Linked DNA regions of Arabidopsis thaliana. The protein of the gene in region 2 interacts with the protein of the main gene of each other region in a pairwise test. Each region holds a gene or a part of one and is shown on either strand. Other genes may lie near its edges. The genes, in order: NF-YC13, LBD26 and LRL1.

What was found.
Region 1: the proteins of LBD26 (region 2) and NF-YC13 interact in a two-hybrid assay, tested with the Arabidopsis thaliana proteins (one large-scale study listed by BioGRID).
Region 3: the proteins of LBD26 (region 2) and LRL1 interact in a two-hybrid assay, tested with the Arabidopsis thaliana proteins (one large-scale study listed by BioGRID).

The regions. Positions count from the first base shown.
Region 1 is NC_003076.8:17,353,684-17,359,662, forward strand, and holds NF-YC13 (nuclear factor Y, subunit C13), read right to left. Parts: upstream 3,024-5,979; 5' UTR 2,884-3,023; coding exon 2,491-2,883; 3' UTR 2,162-2,490; downstream 1-2,161. Other genes in the region: AT5G43240 (hypothetical protein (DUF674)), read right to left, coding at 1-357, 426-1,082; AT5G43260 (chaperone protein dnaJ-like protein), read right to left, coding at 4,010-4,303.
Region 2 is NC_003074.8:10,370,464-10,378,681, reverse strand, and holds LBD26 (LOB domain-containing protein 26), read right to left. Parts: upstream 5,432-8,218; 5' UTR 5,286-5,431; intron 3,680-5,285; exon of another isoform or gene 3,397-3,679; intron 3,143-3,396; exon of another isoform or gene 3,121-3,142; intron 2,815-3,120; 5' UTR 2,786-2,814; coding exon 2,324-2,785; 3' UTR 2,221-2,323; downstream 1-2,220. Other genes in the region: AT3G27950 (GDSL-like Lipase/Acylhydrolase superfamily protein), read right to left, coding at 1-90, 397-634; AT3G27930 (beta-galactosidase), read left to right, coding at 6,364-6,455, 6,629-6,773, 6,897-6,964, 7,055-7,108, 7,208-7,291, 7,376-7,464, 7,544-7,624, 7,753-7,883 and 1 more.
Region 3 is NC_003071.7:10,317,595-10,325,988, reverse strand, and holds LRL1 (LJRHL1-like 1), read left to right. Parts: upstream 1-3,565; 5' UTR 3,566-3,811; coding exon 3,812-4,102; intron 4,103-4,131; exon of another isoform or gene 4,132-4,167; coding exon 4,168-4,338; intron 4,339-4,482; coding exon 4,483-4,548; intron 4,549-5,090; coding exon 5,091-5,156; intron 5,157-5,544; coding exon 5,545-5,601; intron 5,602-5,941; coding exon 5,942-6,343; 3' UTR 6,344-6,776; downstream 6,777-8,394.

The DNA.
Region 1 (5,979 bases), on a different chromosome or scaffold from region 2:
TTTAGCTTCTCGTCCGGGATCAACACTTAAGTCCTTAAAGCTTTTGCTCAAGTTTCCAATGCATCCAATGATGATTCCATCGCCAGCTATTCCCCATGCAGATTCTAGAGGTATAGCAAGAAAAGTGAAGAGAAGATCAACAAAGTCATCACCACATTCAACAAACAGAATGTTTCCTTCCTTCTTTACAACATTTAGTGTAATCGTTTGGTCAGGTGTTGATTCCTCTCTATCTTCACAGAGGCCAGGACTCGGCAATTTCTGAATCCTCTTTGTACTATATGAACTTTTCTTTTTCAGAAATGTATCGGTCAATGGATTATCCGATGTAGACAAACACTCCAGCAAAGTCGGTACCTACAAAAATTAAGAGAAAATAGCATAAGAGCATGAAGTTTAAAAGTCTAGCTGAAGAAAAATAATACCTCTTCGAGATTAACGTCATGAATCTTCTCATCCAACTTTTCACAATCTACGTAGCCAAGATCTTTAAGAACATTAAGTGTCAACCTAACAGAGGTAATTTCCACTTTCAAATCATCAGTGATCATGAATGAAGTATGATCACTCCTAACAAATACTCCACCTTCAACACCATTTCCTGCACTGGCTAGGCCTCCTCTTCCATCAAGCTGAGTCACTTCATTCATCAAAACACCACAGCTACATCTCGAGGTATTAAAATTGCTGTAACTTTCAGTACATTGCTCACGTTCCACAAACTTAGGACACACGAAATACTTGGTAGCCTCGGAATCATCTACCCTCAGCTTAAGGTTTCGACATTTCTCATGATTCAAACTGCCCGGATACAAAAGCATTTGCTTACAAGCTTCAGTCAAGAAATGCTCAATGCCCATACTCACAACACTTGCATATATATTGCTGAAACAGCCTATTGCTATTTTCTGTGACTTCTTATACATCTCCAGCAATCTAACAATCGTTCCCATTGGCAAAGTAAAAAAACTAAAGAGTAAATCGACAAAATCTTTACCCGCCTCAACAAATACAACTTTGTTTTTCTCTTCATCTATGAGTAGTTTCAACTTAATCACCGGATTCTTCAAAGTAGCTGACATGTCTTGATACAAAATCTGCACTGATACAATGAAAAAGGTCACTTTTTACACAGCCATGTTAGAGACGATAGCTACATTGATTTTGTATAAATAGGTAACAATTTTATAAAAGCTAAACAGAGCGGAGTCTGTTCATATATCATACATGCTAAAATACGTAACGAGGCTAACAATGAACAAAAACCTCAGAAGAACATAGTCTAACGTGGCATCAAAGAAATGGTTTCCTAGTGCTTAGAAACAGAAGAAACTACAAACACATCAATTCTTGGAAAAACTACTTTCATAAATATTCAACAATATGATCTATATATGCTGCGTAAGATTTTACCTTGTTAGAGTAAACCAAGCAATTGTGTTCTTTTCATAGGACTTGAGGTTTTATATAAAGCTTAAGTGGAGGAAGTGGAACAGTTTAGAGAAGACATGGTCAAAGGCCTTAATTAAAGGTTTCGGGAATGGAAGAGGCAACAAATAACGAAGTAAATCCAATTCGCCGGGTTCATGTACCACAAGTTCCGAAAAGAACACAATTGCTTGGTTTATGTTGTTTAATTATAACGGTTCAAGTTCTCATAATAACTAAACGGAATATTAAAGAAAGTGGATGTTCCATTGGATTCAATCAATTTGATATGTCAACATAATCACTTTTTTCTTTCACAATTCCGAGAACATAATAAGAGCTTTTGGACACTCAAGTCATCATTGAATACCACTAGACTTGGTCTGAAACCATAAAAGCAAATAAAGAACATATACCAAATCCACACTACAAAGCAGATGATATAAGATGAAGTTTGAGAGGAGTTATTGAGAAATGTAACCATGGATAGTGATCTTGAGAAATATCACACTTTCTTGTTAAAAGTTTCAGACTTTACCCATCAGACTGGTTCACTTCTACTCTAGAAAACTTGTCAGAATGAAAAACTAAAGAAAACTGAAACATACATTCCGCAAAAGCTTTCATTTTGCTCGGTCACAACCGCGCTTATTAGCTCACAATCAAAGAAAGTATAACATACTATTGTAACGGCGACAACTTCTATAGCCATGTTCTTTCAGAAGAACATAAACACTCAAAAGTAGTATTCATATAAGAATAGCTTAGAAGAACAATACACATCCCAAACCTCTCTCTCTCTCTCTCTCAATCTCTACACACCAAAGTTAGAGCAATGCAGAGATTTCTAAGCAACACAATGAGATGTATCTCACAGTCACAGGACAAGAATCAGTTTCTCCAATTAGTAGAAATGCTAATAGACACAACATCTTTAAAATTACCAATTCCTATAAAAGTTCCTCATGATCCATACATTCTCACTACACTTTTAGCAAAACAAGATTTTGATTTGAGAACAGAGTAAAATTTGCAATTGTGAACAAAATGAGAAATTTTACTTTAGGCTGAATCAGTCTTTGCTTTCCCTTTACTGAAGAAATCATCGATACGACGAGTCCCAATTGGCGGCGCCGGAATCTTCTTGTCGGAAACCGATTTGGTATGTTTGACAGGCTGAGCCGGCAACGGAAGCGAGTCTAAGAGGAAATCACTAGTAGGTTGGTGTCTTTTCACGGCGATTCTTAAATGATCGAGATTAACAGTCTTACGCTTCTTCTCCGCCGTAACAACAGCAGATTTCTCGGCGAGGAAGTGGAGGAAGAGTTCGGTGGAGTAAGTGATGACGTGAAGAGCTTCTGAGTTGATTTTGTTGATGTCTTTGTCCAGTTTCATTATCTTCTTTACTCTTCCGATTGGAAACTCTGGTCGGATTGATCCTTCTTCTTCCTCCATGGATTTTGATTTTGATTCTGTTGAGAAAATCTGATTAAGGTAATGAATTGTATATGTTCGACATTTTTAGGGTTTTGAGATTTACGCGCTCTGTCACGGCGGGAAAATGAAAATGAGCAATGAGAAAACATGTAAACCGGATTAACCAAAACAGCCCGAACGAAGATTTTGCTAATTCGGGTTTTCAGCTTAAACCGATTGGTGAGATTGAGAAGAACGTTTGGTAACCCGGTATGGTTCGTAGATTTTTATGTTGTAGAGATTGTTTCTACATGAGTCACTGTCTAGCTCAAACTAGTACTAGTAGTCTATTTTAAAGTTTTATATTGAAAATTTTAACCGATTCTTTCTTTTACTTGGATCACATTGTACAAGGAATTCTAGAAAGCTACAAGTTGGTACAAATCTCCTAGCTACCTGAATTGAACCCCATTGATCCTTCACGAACGCAACGGATTTAAGGAGTGGCATATCGAACTAGAAATGCCATCAAATAACAAATGAGCTTTAGAGATAGTTCCAAGTGTGGATAATGATTTGAGATTATACTTCTATATGGCTGTAGGAAGCCTTTTTTTGGCTCCGAGATGTTTCTAATCTTGAGACTTGAGAGACCATCTACTACAATTGTAGCTGTTTAATTTGTTATAACTAATCCGTTTCCTCTTTACTATTCGCAGCTTTTCACAAAATTCACACACAACACTCCTTCCTCTACAACGTTTTGAGGTTGTAGACATGAACCAATTTCATACCATTGGAACAAGAGGCTGTTGAAACATCTCATGGTCACATATTGAGTACTAGACATGAACCAAACACATCCAACAAAGTCCATTTACAACAATATACAAGAAGAAGCTAACTTTTCGTATCATTGGATCAAACCCATCATCTTAATTCTTAATAGTTAATACTAAAGATTTGAGCCACCAATAATGACAAATTCGAATATTTTGACTATGAACAGTAACAAAACAACCCAACACAAGAAAAAATATCACAGAAGCTATCAAATCTGTTTCTCATCTATGTGTATATATATATAATCAACTTACAAGACAGAGAGTGAGAGAGTTCAAGAGAGAAGAATCGTTTACAAAGTATACAAATTTCTTGAGAATCATCAATAAGGACGATTCGGTGGCTGAACCGTAATCTGAGCCGGTAAAGGTCTACCAGTTCCAGAACCACCACAATTGCTACAAGCCGCACGACCTGAACCAGAACACCTACGACATCCAACGTCACCATCGGACCATCGAGAACAGAAACACGTGACTCGTCCAGTACCGTTACAAGTCGGACAACGAGGGAATTGACCAGCCATAGGCTTTTGGTCCATGACTGATTTGATAAAGACCGCACCGGCTAAAACGCTGATTCCTGTAGCTAACTGGGTTATGACGATCGGACTCATTGTTGGTTTCAATAAGAGAGAGAGGTTTGGTTTTGGTTGCCAATTTTGGGGATAACGCAAAAGTAGAATCGTGAAGAAATTGAAGAAGAGAGACGTCTCGAGGAAAAAATAAAAGTTTTTTTTTTTTTTGTGTTCAGACAAAAGTGTGGTCTTGTTTTAATTTGATACGGTTCGGTTTATTTTTGAAGTAAATACAATTTTGGGAGATAAGGGAATGGTTGAGAAAGTAAACACGTGGGCTAGTGAGGGTTAAGTTGTTGTGTGAGGAGATGAATGAAACAGCCGTGTTTTTTTTGGATACTCCAGTTTTTGGATTTGGGTTTTTATTGGGCTGTGTGTGTAAAATATCTTCTACAAGTGTACAACCTTCAGATTTTTCTTTTTTTTCTTTTTTTTTTTCGTCAGATTTTTCTTTTTTTTAGATTATCATTGATTTATCTGACTGCTTGCTTTTTTTTTTTTGTCATCAAAGAAGCAAGCAACTAATTTTTCTACTAAAAAAAATCAAAATTTTATTTATAGTAATTGAGGCCACAAGCTTGTGTTTGACCCGCTTGTACTTATGGACGGCTCTGTATTTTACCTAATAGATTTGAATGGTAACCATTTTAATAACAATACAATTTTGACAGTTACTAATCACAAAAACTTTATCAAAAGCGTTACAAAAAAATTTACTCTCAGTTTTTTTGTACAGCTCATTTTAACAGTTTTACACTATTCCGATAAAGCTAACAGCTAAATAACTTGTATAGTTTTTGGTTACCAATCAGACCCAATATATATGTTCTGTGTGATACAGTTCTTTTGTTGACTTTTATAACATAATAAGTTTCTCGTTAGAAGTTTTTCACAAATTCACTGTAAATTAATTAATTGATTAATCGAAAGTATAAACTATGTTACGAATTAGTCAATAGGGAAATGATTAAGTTTGCAGTGATAACCGAACTTACATGCACTAAAATTAGAGGAATGTAATTCTTACTTTGTTTGGTTAGGGTTTATTGTTCTATTGTTACTATTATATTGTTGTACTATCTTGCAAGGGTTGCAATTGTAACCTTCCATTTCATTTTTTGGGTTAATTTTGTTTCTTTCACGTTTGTACTATAACTAGGTTGCTTGAATTATCAGGCGATGCACTCTTCTCCACAAACAAATCACGCGTCGAACGCAGCCATAAACATGTCCAATGGTGGACGAAGAAGCAATTCTCACAACCGCACGTGCTTACTTCCAATATCGGGCTTTTCAAATTCGGCGTGGGCCGAGTGGCCCATATATGAAGATTCTGAGCTATTGTTGCATCATTTTGAAGTTTTTATTATTGTATACTAGATGAGTACCCGCACTACGTGCGGGTTTATGTATTACTATTTACAAATTGTTTTATATAATGTCTGTTCATATAAAGTAAAGTTAAATGCATCGGTTTTGAAACATAAATATGATTTGTAATTGTTTTCAAAAAGTCCAACTATATTAGTTCATCTGAAAACGAAAATGCTTGAGTTATTTTTTATTGTTGTTCTAGATTCTCAGTTTTTTTTTTTAATTTATATATCCTTGTTCTTTTGGTTATATATTTAGTTTGTGAAACGGTGAAATTTTAGAAAATTTCTTTCTTACATTTAAAATATAACATGTTTTTATTAACCATGTCTCTGCATAAC
Region 2 (8,218 bases):
AACCGCCCGTCGCAAAATTAGCACCATGCCGGTAATTAGCTCCAACCGAATCCAAGTATGGTGTTAAATACGGCAAAGTAAGATTTTCGGCTGCCCAAAATCATAACAAATATATCGTCAAAATCGATTCAATAACTAGAAGCAAATGTGTGTTTCAAATATACTAAGGGCATCTCCAACCCTACTCTAAGTAAAAATGCAAAACATTTCTCTAACCCTACTCTATAATTGATTCTAAAATAGAGATTTCTGCAACTCTATATATAAGTGTTAACAAATTGGCAACACAAAAATTTCTCTTATCTTATACTCTAAAATCAATGTAGAATTAAGTTGCTAATGAATATAGTTAGTAGAATTTACAAAAGGGTAAAATTGAAAATCAAAGATACTTACTAATGAAATCTATAATGAGACGGCCATCGGAGTGTCTTCCGGCGGATCTTCCAAAAAATGCAACTCCATTAGGTGGAGGAACCTCTCCAATGGCCGCAGAGATAGCTCCGGTGTCAGAATTTGAATCTCCAAAGTTAAAAACTGCCGGAAAATTACAACTACTCGACAAGGCAGATAATTTCTCAGTGAACCCTAGAAGTAAAACGATGATTGCAAGGGTTATTTTAGAAATAGCCATGTCAAGTAAGTGGATGCGATGAGCTTGACAATAAGAAACTAGTCTGGTATTTATTGAAGTCGTTGGTTCACGATGTATATGGCATGTTAAGCTTTCCTAATGGATTATATTAAGGTAAGAGGGTATAGGAAATTATATGATCAACAAGTAGAGATTATAAAATAAATAGATCTATCAAAGTTTGTATAGCAAGTTGTTGATGTAATCACGTGGGACACTTTGCTTGACTATTTGCAGTCAAATTTTATGATTTTGTAGATCAAATGGCTAACTAGCTCAATGTCAACGTTTTGTCGAAGCTAAACACATATGCTTAAAGTGACGGTAAAATGTTAAATTGGGTACGAGACCAAACGTGAAAATACTTACAACGTTTCTAAATATATATATATATATATATATATATATATATATATAAAATAATGTAATGTTAAATTAAATTGGAAAAAAAAATAATGTTTTTACAATTTGTGCAACCGTTGTTAAACAAATTCAAAAGAATTGAACTAAAAGCAGTTAAATTTGAAAGAAGTTAGATTTCTTTTAAATTCATGTATACTAAAACAACATAAATTAGAAACCTACATAAACTCCGCTATATATTTTTCCTTATAAAAAAAACTCAAGACAAATGCTTCCCTAGACTAAACTCATATCACCAAATCTCCCATATTTTTTTTAGGCAATCACCAAATCTCCACTTAAGTTCATGTTCTAAGCATTTCCAAGTACCTTTTCATTTCCAACACAATATCTATATCTCAAAGCAAGTTCAAGCACCCATTTAAACTCTTAAAAAAATCAATGTAATAAGGTTTAAGATAGAATTTCATATATTTTCACATTTTATTTATTTATATATAATTACAATAATGTATTGTTTATTTAACACATGAATAGTAAGTTTTTTTCTGTTGACCATAAAAAAGGAAAACAAATAGTAATTAAACAGAAAAGGGTATGCAATCTAATAATTGGATACCTAGCCTAATATAAAAACAAAGTCCTGAACAACTCTGGTCAATGTAATAAAGTTTTTTTTGTTAAAAGAGTCAATATTATAAAGTTTTAATATAGAATTTCATGAATTCTCACATTTTATTTATTGATTTACAATTACCATAATGTATGTAGATTTAACACACGAATAGTAAGTTTTTTTCTTTTCTTTTCTGTTGACCATTAAAAGGGGAAAATTAATAATTAAACAGAAAAGGTATGAAATCTAATAATTAAATACCTAGTCTAATATGAAAAAGTCTTTGACACGCTAGCCAATGCTAATAAAGTTTAAGATAGAATTTCATGAATTTTTACATTTTATTTATTTATATTTACAATAATGTAAGTATATTTAACACATGAATAGTAAGTTTTTTTCTTATGTTGACCATAAAAAAGGAAAATTTGGTAATCAAACATGAAAGGATATGTGCAAACATCTGGATGTGTTAAAAATATTTTCTAAAAAAAAAGTCTACAATTACGCTAATTAAGTATATGTAATGGATAATATATACTTTGATAAAATCCATAAATAATTCAAAAGAAAGATAAGTCATCAAGAAAAAGAAATCAAAATACATAGAAATAAAAGCATATTTTATTTTATTTGAAATTAAATTAAAAGCATATTTGGTTCCAAAGATTCACTTTTAGAAAGAAAAAAAAATCTTCAACAATGACCATCTAGGAATCTTCAACCACACGAATGGCCGATTCATCCGATGATTTAGTCTTTCTTTTTCTTTTGCGCAAAACAGATGGTTTAGATTTCGACTGAGTATATTTTGGTGCAGGAAGAGCCAATACTACACATGGTCTCGAGTAAGATGCGAGCAACTTCTTTGTTTTGGACACCTCTTCAGCTTTTTGGTAAGGATAATTTAGAAGAGCTTCGAGGAATTTTGAGGGGTTCTTGGGTGGGTTCAGAAAGCATGGTTTTGCCTCGTAATAGAGTGTGCGGGTAGTATCTATGCGTTCCATAGGTGAAAGGTCTTTGAGGTAGAATGTCAAAGTTTCGAGTCCAAAGATGCGATTGACGACATCAAATTTCTCTAGATCACTTGAAGGAAATAGCAGAGCAAACATGCAGTTGTTGACGCATTGTTTATTTTGGAACCTGCAAACTTCGCATGGGTTTGCATTCATTTTGTTTTGCCTATTTTTTCTCGAAATAACTGCAAAACAGAAAAATGATATACAAATTACATAAGACATCAAAGTTTGCAATTACAATACAATTTTAATTTCTTAAATAATATAATTATACACAAATAAGAAGTAGAAATTATTTTTTTGGAATTTTAGTGCTTTGTATATCGAAATATTTTAGATCTAGTATATCTCATATATTTTGATAGAAATCCTTTCAGATAAACACAACTCATATAGCCTCCTAAAATTATCTAATAAACACTATATATTTAGATTTATGTTTTCTATACAAAAATATGAAACAAAAATATATGATTAATCACACTTACCAACGAAGGAGATTATGTGGAGACTTTTTCAGAACTTGGAATATAGTGGAAGAAAGATGAGGCGGATGCATTGATATATATAGAGAGAAAACTAGGGTTTTTCTTTTCATTAAATCAAAACGACTTTGATTATATTTGTATATTGAAAAACGACTTCGTTTTTGTTTTAATATTTTGAAAGAAAACAACTACATAAGAGGAATTATTCAATAAGCAAGTCTAATAAAAACATAAAAATAATCGGAAAATGATTAACTCGCTATTTTATTACAATACCCTAAAGCCGGCGCGATGTGTAGCATATCGAAACTTGGGACTAGGGCCCTCAAAATTTGTTCCCTACAAATTATGTTTTATTGTAAAATTAGATCCCGATTTTCTGAATTTTAAATTTTACTCTCATTGTTTAAATATTATCTTAAAATTGAAATTGAAGCAATTAGCAAATAAAAAGTCATTTGAAATTAGAAAGATGGAGCTTTTTCCCCAAAAAAAGAGCAACACCACCTCTAATACTTTGACGTACCTTGTTGCATCCCCCTCCCCCACACCACAAAATTATCAAAATGCTTTAGTGTTATTATTCTTTATCCGAAATCGTTTAACATTGTGAGCTTGCACAAGTGTGTAACATAAAACTAACGCAGCAGCATAGTACTTGTTAACTTAACGCATAGACCACCAACAAGCCTCTTCATTATGGGTTAAAGATATGAAAAATGCGTAATCTTTTGTTGTTGCTAAATATGTAAATGTTTTATTATAAAAATAAAAACAATTTAAGTTTACAATCAAAAGATTGTACACCTACCTATAAAATGGTCGTATGGCAAAGAAATTAAAAATACGTAAGAATAAATCAGAGACATGGTTTTCAGTCCATCTACTCAACAGAAACACAAACTAATAGAGTTATACGAAGTGATGATGATTCTAGTGTTGGCATTAAAATTGTTGTTTGAGACAAATGTTAATTTCAAGTTATAAGAGCCGAAGTACCAAGATAAAAAACACTAGAAACCTTTCAACGAAAGTCCAAGACTAAGTTGTCAACGGCGAAGCACCCACAGCTCTCATACACGAGAGCTGCTCGTCGAACATTTCCATAAGCGACTTCAGAATGGAATTTCACAAAAAAAATATATATATAAACGGTGTAAGTTCTCTCTACCAAGTTCAATGCCAAAGGCAACTAGTACAAAGCTATATTTTGTAACTCAGAGCTACACCAAACACCATTAGTCTTACTTAGAGCTGTCAATTGGGCTTGACCATGACCAAATGGTCTTGTCCAGTTGGACATTTTTTTTTCTGTTGACAAAAATGACCAAGCCAAAGAGTGACCAAGTTCAAGAGTGACCAAGACCAATTGGATATGTCCATGGAGATAAAAAAAAAGTTTAACATCATAATACTAATCTAAAATGACCATGACAAACATTGTAATTAGTCATCATAAAATAGTTTTAAAAAGTTTAACATCATAATACTAATCTAAAATGTTGTGTTTCTACTCTATAACCGAATTGTAGAATAGCATAACCAAAAGCCATTCTAATCCTCCTATACTCAACAAACGAGTATGGTAAATCATGCTCAATAATGGCCATTGCAATCAGTATACGAAAAAAATATCTAGCTTTTGAACAGTCTGTGTACTTCCATTGCACGTTCTAATATGACAAAGCAACGTTGTCATTCCATTTCTATATAGATTCAATATATAGTGTGTTTTACATTTGTTGCATCTAATATCATGTTCACTAGTAGGTAACTTCTCTCCAATTATTGTGAATTTATTTCAACACTTAGAAACTCTACGGGTAGGGCGAATTGGCTTGAATGTACCTTTCATTTTCTCAGGAAGAGTGCCTTCATGATCCATATCTTCTTCCAAATCTTTATTGGTATTGTTTTCATCATTCAGGTTAATAATAGCATTATCCATTATCTCAAACAATTAAACAAAACAAAACATTGACTCATATTATAAAACATTGTGATAATGATGTTTAAAAACTATCTCTCAATACATAAACTTATAGTAACAACAAACAAATACTAACTTTTTATCTTGCAAAATAATTTTCATGAATAGCTAAGTCACATTTAAAGGAAACAGAATGACTGAACCAAAACCCAGATCTAAAAATAAGAGACCGTACCTCATCAAAGAAATCACCCATTGTAGACGATACTCAAAAGAAGAAGACGATCCTCGAAGGAAGAAGACGATCCTCAAAGGAAGAAGACAATCTAGAGCTTTGAATTTAGAAGCGATTCTCAATTGTGTTTTTCTCCAATTCGATTTCAGAAAAAACGAAAGAAGAAGAAGAGAAGAAGACAGATGATTGCAAAAATAATTAATTGGTGGACTTATCCATTGACCAAATGGTCAAACCCACCTCTAACTGCAGATCTATTTGGGCTGAGTCCACTAAAACCATGTTTTAGTTTGGCCAAATTTTAAATGTTCGTAATAGTATTTGTTTGGCTGAGCCCATGGTCCTTTTGACCAATTGACAGCTCTAGTCTTACTACCTCCACTAGTGCATAGTAAAAACACAACACTAGGCAGCAAACGCATTGCAACGCTAATACCTCAACTCACAACAACATCAACATCAAGGCAAAACCAAAACATATCAGTGAGCTAAAGAAATACCACCAATGCCAATAACTGATGATTTGGAGGCTTGAAAAGCCACCACTAGAAGCTGCAATAACTCCAAATCAACATCATCGTCACCACGAATTGCCAAGAAAAAAATATCTCAAAACAAAAACAACTTTTCAGTTGTGTAGCAGTGTAGAGAACCAAAATTTTGAAATTTAATAAAATGTTATCTTAAAATATGGTTTCAAAACATTCACATATGCATCACAATATCTTGCAATTACCAAAACTGTCATAAACACATTCTCCATAACCTTGACAAATTGTATACAACAATAAATAATATCCAAAAAATTGGGAAAAAAATATTATACGAATAATTTAATATTTAAATTTTACAAAGATAATGTCTAGTTTCTAAAGATTTTTTTTTGGATTAGTCGGTTAATTTAAAGCGCCGCTTAGGTTTATTACTATATAAAGTCTTAATATAGAAGAATGTTGAAATATTCAAACGTGAAGCAAAAGCAGAAGCGAGACTATCGCCGAGAGCTCTCACTAACTATTGAATTCATCGAAGAAGCTCTCTCGTTGTCGCAGAATCTCTTCTTCTCCGTTCTAGAACAATGGGGAATGCTCTTGTCAAAAAAGAACCACCGCCTCCGGTGGTACTCGTTCCTCCGCTCTTTGATTACCCTCCTCTCTCCGCCCGCACTAGGTCTACCATCTCCTCTTCTTCTCCGATCTGATCCTCATACTTTCAATTTGTTAGAATCGCGTGATTTCGAAGTAGTTTTTGTATAACCTAATCTAATCAAATAGATCGATTCTGATTTATAGGTTAAATTGTAATTGTGCGATTGTGAGAAATTGTTGTTGTTGTTGATGCAGGATGTTGGAATCATCATATAATTTGTTGTTTGGGAAGCTTGCATTGAGATGTCTATTTGAGGATTACTTTGAAGAAGCTAATCGATTCACGGGCAAGTTTTTGTTGAAGCCTACTGATGATCCTCATGTGGATTTGGTTGCATCTGTATCCAATTTTGAAATCTCTTTTGTGTTATTTAGTTTCTATATAGTGATGATTCGAGAATTTTCTCTAAATGGATGTATTAGGGATATGTAGAAAATCAGAATTTTCCTTAATAGTCTAAAGGTTTCGGGTGCTGTAGATGGTAGAGTGGAAGGAGATTTTGTTGGGAATGCGGAGTTTCGCTGGCAAAGGTATAGATTCTTTAGTTTTTAATCTGAAAGATTACAAGTAGTTGTTGGAGAATTGGAATACTGATTAGTTTGTTTTTGATAAATATGCAGTGATGTTGATGATCCTCATACTTTTGTTGATCTCTCTGTGTCAACCTCGAATCCGTAAACTTTGTGCTACTTTTGATATATTCTTGGAGGTTATGTTCATTACAGTAGTTTAATGTTTTGAAATTGTTTGTTTTGTTTGTCATCATCATTAAGGGTTCTTCTAATGAGGTCTTCTGCTTACTATCCTAAATATGGAATCGGGGCATTTGCGGTCTACCCTTTGATTTCAAAAATTACGTAAGTCGTATCTAGGTGTGTACCCTGTTGTTATATTTAGATTAGATGTAATATTGTGAGGGTGAATATATGTTGTCTCTGTAGTGGAAAATCATCTGAAGAATATAGAATCATGGGGTTGAGATATGGCTCAACGAATTTGTCTGTCGGAGCTACTGTCACTCCTTTTAGTGGTAAGCGCATAAAGTTGCTCTGTGAATTCACGTTGTTTTCTTTTGGACACAATGCTGACCCTTTGATTCTTCAATTCAGCGAATAACGAATTGCCAAAGCATGCATGGCTTGTAAGCAAGATGGGAAGTCTTACAGTAGGAGTACAATATGAGCCGCTACGTGAGTTAGTTTACATTGTTTTATTTCTGTTGAACAGATTTTACGCATCACATGTGGAAACTAGTATCTATAAATTATGTGATTGAAAGAAAGTGAGCATCAACAATTGTTATTGGATTTTGTTTTAGATGGAAGCAAAGATTTGGCAAAGTACACAGACCCAAGAAACTGGAGTTGTGCTGCTGGCTATGGAGTAGGGTCACAAAGCCCCTTGACTCCTTCTTTTAACATTGGCATTGAACTAGCAAGAAGCTCTCAGGTGATTCTTTTAAAATCCGTGTAGATGAAAACATGTTGTTTTGCTGTCTGTATGCACAAGTCTTAACCCCAAACAATTTTTCAGTATCTCATGGAACTTGACAAACGACCACATTATTTATCTAATGGCATATCATCCATTTTGTAGCATTTTTAGTCTTGCTGATTATGTTATCTTTCTTGTAAATGCAGTTTATTGCTTCGTTCTACCAACACGTAGTGGTCCAAAGACGGGTACAACTCTTTCAAACAAGTCCTTTTTCTGTGCTGCATCTTATACTAGTCTTCCATATATAAAGTTTAGCACATCTTTGGCTCAATATGAAATCGATTTAA
Region 3 (8,394 bases), on a different chromosome or scaffold from region 2:
CAAACACAGAATGTCCCATGTGCTTAATCACGCAGAATATGAATATTTCTTCTTAAATAAGACTAATCCCATTTAAATATACTATTTATATAAATATATATCTTCCATATATATACTGAAGAACAAATACTTATATGTTGCATTGGTTTCCTGGCAAAAACAAAATCTAGTTTATTTGGACCAATATGTACTTGTTTCATACTCAAATCTACACCTCTTTTGTTTATGATCTAAATAAATTTTTAATGACTTAAAATATTACGTAAAATTTGTTGTTACTTAATCAAAAAAATTTTAAAGTTTATTAAGGTTTGGTGTTAACAGTTTAAAACTTTTTAAAAATTATCTAAAATCTTTATAAAACTAAAGTTATTGGATTCATACTTTTATAAAGTCATTGTTATTTAATTGAAACAAAAAAATGTATGATTGTTAATCAATTAAATTATTGTGTTATTGGTTTATGTAGACATGGACATTTGTCGACCAATATCAAAATAGAGATTGTTAAAAAAAGTTTACAAAATTGTAAAAAATTAATCAATAATATTATAAAAACTCTCTACCAATAGTTTAGAATCTTTCATTAATTTATTTATCTTCTATGATATTACTAAAGTTATCAAAAAAAATTGTAAAAATTATAAACCAATAAAACCTCCTAACTGAAGTTAACTTATCTTCCAATATTGTTTATCTTTCTAACAAACCTTTAATATAACTATGGTTTGATTTTGTTCATAAAAATATTGATATAACAATTTAACAATGATTATGGGTTGTTATACTCTTTTTTTCTGTTTTAAGATGGGTTGTTCTGCTTTCTTAATTGCCGTAGAGAATGTGCACATTCTATCGAAAGAACCGTGAAAGTTTGAGGCTTCTAATGTAACATTCTATTGATTAAATTAAAGACCATTAATTGACCAAATTGTGACTTGTGAGTTGTGAGTGACACAAAACTGTAACATTCTATCGATTAACCGAAAATAAAATTTTATCATTTTGAAACCTATAACTCGGAGAGTGGAAAGTGAACACGCCAACACAAGACGTGTCCATTTAGATTGTTGGATATAACTTGTAAAGCTCGATATGCATGTATACGTATTTATATGCGTAATATGCAATACACACATGCACATACGTAGACATACATGAACGTAGATGAGCCTATATATGTTTGTTTAATCGTTAAATTTTTGAAAGAATTCTGACTTGGGAATATTATTTCAATGAACTTATTCCATGGTACGAACCACTACATACATATATGCATGAATGTGCATTATAACATGAGAAGATACATGCACACAGTCACACATATATGATTTTTATAAGTATGCTTTCACGAATTTTGTTGTCTATAACTATAATTAAGAAAATAGCTATGAATTGAGATAACTTTTCAAAAAGAATATTTTAACAAGAAATCAAAAAATATTTTATGATAATGAGACGTAACTCCCGTAAGCATTTATTATGATTTATTTTATTATTAGAAAACTTTATTGTGAAAAAATGCAATTATATAAAAAAAATATAATGAATAGAGAGATTTTGTTTCATTAAAATGTGTTCATGTTAGCAATTAATGGAAAAGAGGAAAACAATATTTCTGACTACAAAATACAGACCTCGAAACCTTAAATGTATTAGTTAATGAATCCAAATGAAGAAGTGTCAAACATCCGGACACAAAAATTAAGTTTGCAAATATTTTAATGTTATTATTTATCCCAAAAAGAGTATATGGTGAATGTGGCACAATCTAAAGAAATACCAAATTTTCAGCTACATATAAAAATAAAAAAAAAGAAGAATAATAACTATCTATTTATAAAGAAAAAGCTCCACGTCGTACGTGATTAGCTCAAAAGATAAGTTATCATATTGATAGGGAATTTCATTTTAAAAAGTTATTATCATATTTTGTAATTATTAATTTACGAGTATCGTCTTTGGGATAGGATGTTTGTGATCTTGGGGGCATAGAAAAAAACAGTAGAATTTCGAGAGCTCTAGCATCATTGATGAATGTACCTGCTCGAGTTTATAATTTTAGACCATTGTCAATTATCATCGTGAAAAGATTATTAAAACATGAATGTAATATTTCATTCTCGGATTGTATTAATAAATATATAATATGTTTCATTTTATGAGTAATTTTGTACTATACATAATTCAGTTAATGATCAATTGCGGAAAATTCTAAATTTTTATATAATGAGAAACTTATTTACAATTTTAAAACTTATTTAACATTCGTATATATGAGTTGAACAAATGCACCATGTGTGTGTGAACAAATTTGCAGTACCATGTAAAACTAATTAGCTTACCAAGATGGACTACAAGTGTTTTTGGTCGGGCTAGAAGTAAATGGGTTGGAAACTGGTCATAGATATGGGTAAACGACCAGCGGCTGTGCTCTTTTAACCATCTCCTAAATTACTTTAATCCAAAGCCAATATTTTTTGATCATTCTCATTAAAATGGTTGGTTTTCCAGTGAATTTTGAAGTTAAGGTATATCTGTAGATAGTCAAGTAGCTAGATTAATCATTGGGTAACACTTAGGTGGTCCGAGACCATTTTGGGTAGCTCCAATGTACATCTCTTGAATTCCATCGATCCAAAGGGTCGTTTGGTTTCATCATTCTCCTTAAAATGATGTACTCTCTGAAAAGAAAAAAAATAGGTTAACGTCGTTAGGTCGAATGGATTTTTCAATGGGTAAGTAAGTATTTTTGATTTTGGTATGGTTCGGATAAATTCACGTTTATCCGGCTAAATGGCTCGAACATTTTGAATTCCACCCAAATGGTTAATCAACTTCTTAGGAAAACCTTTTGAGTGAATATCCAAGCCTCTATTTAATCGATCAGATCTAGGATTGGACAAGGATATCCTCCTTGTATTTGGTTTTTGGTGGGACTAATTAGGTAACTCCTTGGTCCATGTAAAATTTTTAGAAGCCACAATTGAAACGTAAGAAAGGCACTAATAATCACGGGCATGCCATCATCACCCATATACAGTATAATATTTATATAAGATTTTTTACACATATTAACAAAACACAAAAATCTCATTTAAATTATTTCCTTTCTATAAAAACATTATTAATTACACCTAATTTAATTAATAAAAAATATGTAACAAAATATAATTGATCAAAAATATTAAATATATTTAATTTTTGTATAGAAAAATGAAAACAACATTTATTTTACAACAACAAAACAAATCATTAAACTACATGAAAACACAAAAATAATAAAATTGCTAAACAATAAATGTTATCTAAGAAAACTATAATTGTATACAAAAGCTAGCTATTACACTTAGCACCATATAAATAAACTTCTTATCCATCAATGTTTAATATATATTTGTATAGTAAAATAAAACTAGTTTGCATCTGAAAAAGTATAATCAAATAAAACTCTTTAGATAGCAATATGTACATTAAAAAAAGACTTATTTTCATACGTATTAAGCTGTAAAAAATAATGATTAAGATTTGGGGTAAAGAGAAACCAAAGTTTAAGACGGAAACGAAACAAAAGATGATAATCATCGATTCATCATCACGATATAATATGGGTTGCTAACCACAATAGAAAAACAAAAGTTCTTTTAAGGTTTTAATAATATATCACCAAAAATGATAATTAAAACCTAAAATTAAAATAATATATCTACAAGACTACAACAATTCTGCTTTATAATAAAGCTATAAACCTCAACATTTTTCAACCTCTTCCCAAAAAAAAGTGTAGAAGCAGAAGAAACCCATCATCATCATGATGAACTCTTCTCTTCTAACTCCTTCTTCTTCATCTTCTTCCCATATCCAAACTCCATCAACAACTTTCGACCACGAAGACTTCCTCGATCAAATCTTTTCCTCGGCCCCGTGGCCCTCCGTCGTCGATGATGCTCATCCTCTTCCCTCCGATGGCTTCCACGGCCACGATGTCGACTCAAGGAATCAGCCGATCATGATGATGCCTTTGAATGATGGCTCCTCCGTCCACGCTCTTTATAATGGCTTCTCCGTCGCCGGATCTCTTCCTAACTTTCAAATCCCTCAGGTATAATCTCTTTCTCTTTTCTAAGTTTTTCTCTTCTTGAAAACGAGACTTATGGTGAAATATAGGGATCGGGAGGAGGATTGATGAACCAACAAGGACAAACGCAAACGCAAACGCAACCTCAGGCGAGCGCGTCTACAGCTACTGGTGGTACGGTGGCGGCTCCGCCGCAGAGTAGGACTAAAATCCGAGCTAGGAGAGGTCAAGCAACTGATCCTCATAGTATCGCCGAAAGGGTTAGTTGTTTTTGTTTTTTATTTTACTTTGTTCGATGCATTAATTTGTATCAGTTACCGAGAAAGGTGTCGAAATTGAATTTTTTTTAGCTTTTTGAAGAAAAGATTTGAGTATTTTCTGGAAAAAATGTTTTTATGGGACAGTTACGAAGAGAGAGAATTGCGGAAAGAATGAAAGCTCTTCAAGAACTCGTTCCTAACGGCAATAAGGTAAATTTTTATTCAATTCATTTTCAGTTTAGTTTCCAAAAATTAAGATTAGTTAAAATATTAAATGGATCATTATGAAAATAAACTTCACTTTCCATCATTTTATTCATCATCCACTCTTGATTCGTGCGATCCATAATTCCATCTAATTTACAATTTAAACTCCATCGTCTATTTATAGTTCTCATCTTCTAGACCTAAAATTGAAAAAATACAAAATAAATAATGAAAATAAGTGTCGAAATGATCAGGAACTTTCTTGGAGCTAGTTGTTCAAGAGATAGTTTTAGGCTGTCAACTAGAACTTTCAGGAGTTAACAAGTAAATTTATATTTTTTGTTTTACTCATATAATTGGTGGTTGTGTAGTCTATCTATATATAGGAGTAGCTAGTAGTATATATCAATCAAATGATTAAACACTGATTAGCTAATTAATTAATTAGGCTACAATAATAAAGTTAACTAATGCAGTAATAAATGAGTTAGGATCTCAGTTCTGACAGTTTTGTTTTTGTATTTTATTTGTATAATAATGGACAGACAGACAAGGCATCGATGCTCGATGAGATCATAGATTATGTCAAGTTTTTACAACTCCAAGTCAAGGTGAATCTCTCCCTCTCTCTCATATATTTACAGTTATTATTTTATTAAGTTTGTTTTTCATACGTACAAGGGGTAATTCTTTTACAGAGTGCAATTTGTTTTATTTTATTCTCTTCAATATAGATGGAAGATTCGTTTTTTTGCCTTTTAGTTTGACATATTAAACAAAAAGAAAAGCTGACATATTAGTACAATCTTTACATACCAATATATCAAATTTATGGGCCTCTGCAACTAAAATTCCTTATGCTCCCTCCTCAAATTTTATATATACATTCTGGATTATTATGTCATATAAATACATACATGATAAATAATGTTTTTAAGTTATAAATTAGTGGACCAGTGTACTTAATCATTCTGTTTTGAATTTAATTATGCGTTTTAGGTACTGAGCATGAGCAGATTGGGAGGTGCTGCTTCCGTTTCTTCTCAAATCTCCGAGGTAACTAATATATTACTATCTCTACGTACTCATTTTTCATAAATTTCAATAAACATCAAAGCCAATGGACAAAATTAAGAAATTAGACAATCACTTTTCTCTTATAATGTTAATTAGATTTTACAAAATATTATTTTGGTGTGTAAAAATAGATAAATCGTGCAAGACGTTGAAAACAAAATGAATGTAAAAAGTTTCCAGAAACAGAAAACAAATAAGACAAATTTTATAATTCTAAAATAGAGAAATATAAAAGAGAGCACGCGTGCCGACTAATCACTTAGGGTTTCGCTTTCTTTGTCTTTTTGTTTTTCAAAATGTTTTGTTTTATTTTGCTTAGGCTGGTGGATCCCACGGGAACGCATCCTCCGCCATGGTCGGCGGTAGCCAGACGGCCGGAAACTCCAACGACAGCGTTACAATGACGGAACATCAAGTGGCCAAACTAATGGAAGAAGACATGGGCTCGGCCATGCAATATCTTCAAGGGAAAGGTCTTTGTCTCATGCCAATCTCTTTAGCCACCGCCATCTCAACCGCCACGTGTCACTCCCGTAACCCTTTGATCCCTGGAGCTGTTGCCGACGTCGGAGGTCCTTCCCCTCCCAATCTTTCTGGCATGACCATACAGTCGACGAGTACAAAAATGGGTAGCGGTAATGGGAAATTAAACGGTAACGGCGTGACCGAGAGGTCGTCTTCTATCGCCGTTAAAGAGGCCGTATCCGTTTCGAAAGCGTGATAACGGCCGTTTACTTTTGGGGTTAGGCAGAGAGATACCAAAAACAAAGAGAAAGTGGGGTGAAGTGGGAGATAAAGTCAAAGTCTACGAAGAATGAGGTTGAGGTTGTTTGATGTGTTCTCTGAACGAAGCCATATTTTTCGTAGAGTTTTGGTTCTTTTACCTACGCACTACAAAACCATTCAAGGGACATTTCTTTTTCTTTTTTAAATATATGGTTGCAATATGTTTTATTTTTATTAAATAAAGTTGGTATCGTTGATCTGAATATTAGGCTAGAAAAAGAAAAAAATAGTATATTGGTTTTTCACTTAGAGATGGAGTTATAATCTCGTCTCTCAAATCTCAAATATTGAATCCAAGACTTTAGATGTTTATGGATCGCACAAGTCTAAATATTAGGATATGAGTTTGAAGAATATACAAATTCTGTACAAAACAAAGAGGTACGTACGTCTATACATTTTCACTATAGACATCAATCATCATTTAACAATTTTACAGTAGCAGTCTGTTTAAATGGACCTACTCAATACTAAAAAGTCTAAAACATTTTCTTAACTTGACACCATTAACTTTTTATCACAACACACGTCTATCTCAAATCCACACTACAAAATTAATTTTTCTTTTTAAATTACATCTTTGATCTATGAACACAACCTAGAAACCAAAACGTATTCCATCGAGGAAACTCTAGCTCGCTAATTAACAAAACTTGTTTTTTTTCTCTTTTTTTTTTTCCTAAATATTTTGGCTAACCCAAACAAAGCCTGTCTCTTATGTAAAAAATTCATGTCCTCATTCCCTTTTGCCAAACTAGCATATTTCCTACTTTCCATTAGGAAATTATTGCTCTCTATACAACCCAATATTTCAATATATATTTATCATATCTTTGAAATATCCTTATGACTCTCTTTTTGTTTAATGCCTTTCCTCTTGAAAATATCTTCCTAAACACTTTGAGACGTGCATACTCTTTCATATACAGATCGATTTAAAGAAAAATAATCTTAGCAAACGACATTTCCAAATTAAGGGCCTGACTGGTTTAAACACAGCGGATGCGGTTGCGATTGCGGGAGTTTGCGGAAACGGACGGTTGCGGTTTTAAGCGTTATCAAGAGTTTTGAACGACTGGTTGAGCGTTTGATAATGGGTGCGTTTGCGGGGTTTGACTGGTAAACCAGCGGATGCGATAGTAATTAAATAAAAAATAACCAAAATAAATATAATATATTACTATTAAAAGAAATAAAAATACAATATATTATGATAAATTTATAATATTAGAAAATTTGATTTTCTGACCAAATAAAAATACAATATATCATCTCGTCCGACCAAATGATTTCTAATCGAGAAAACAAATCGAAACATGTATTCAATCAAAAAACTCAAAAGAATACAAAATAAAATAAAAACAACGATGCTATGAAATAGTTAAAGAATTACACTAGGTAATGAATGAATAAAAGGATAGATGATACTTATGTTTGATTCTTGATTTTGATTTTCATCGGATGCCATAATTGAGACAATACGATTACAATATATTGATTAAGGTTTTCTAATAAAAATCAGATATATAAAAGATTAGATTATTTTAATTATAGTAATTAGAGTTTGGATGGAAGCCACAATTATTTAATTTAATTAAAAAATGATATTTTTTTTTAACCTAACCGCTACCGCTCGCAACCGCAAACGATTGCGGAAAAGAGTTTTTGAAAAACGGGCGATTTCGAGCGGTCCAAAACGATATCTAACGATTTCTATGATTGGTGTCAATCGCTAACAAGCGTTTGCGGGTGGTAAAGGGAGAACCAATCAAGCCCTAAGTCTAATACATTATTTTTAACTTTGAGTGTTTTCGAGCAGCCTCTCTATTTTCAATTTTCCATTTTTTGAATATCCAGGCGCTACATGTATCGGAAATGCTCCCATTCGATCAAAGCCAATCGCTTTAACCTTGCAATCTATTGCACAAACTTCACAAACTCATACCTTTTCAATCAATCGTTTTGTTTTAGAATTGAACGAACAAG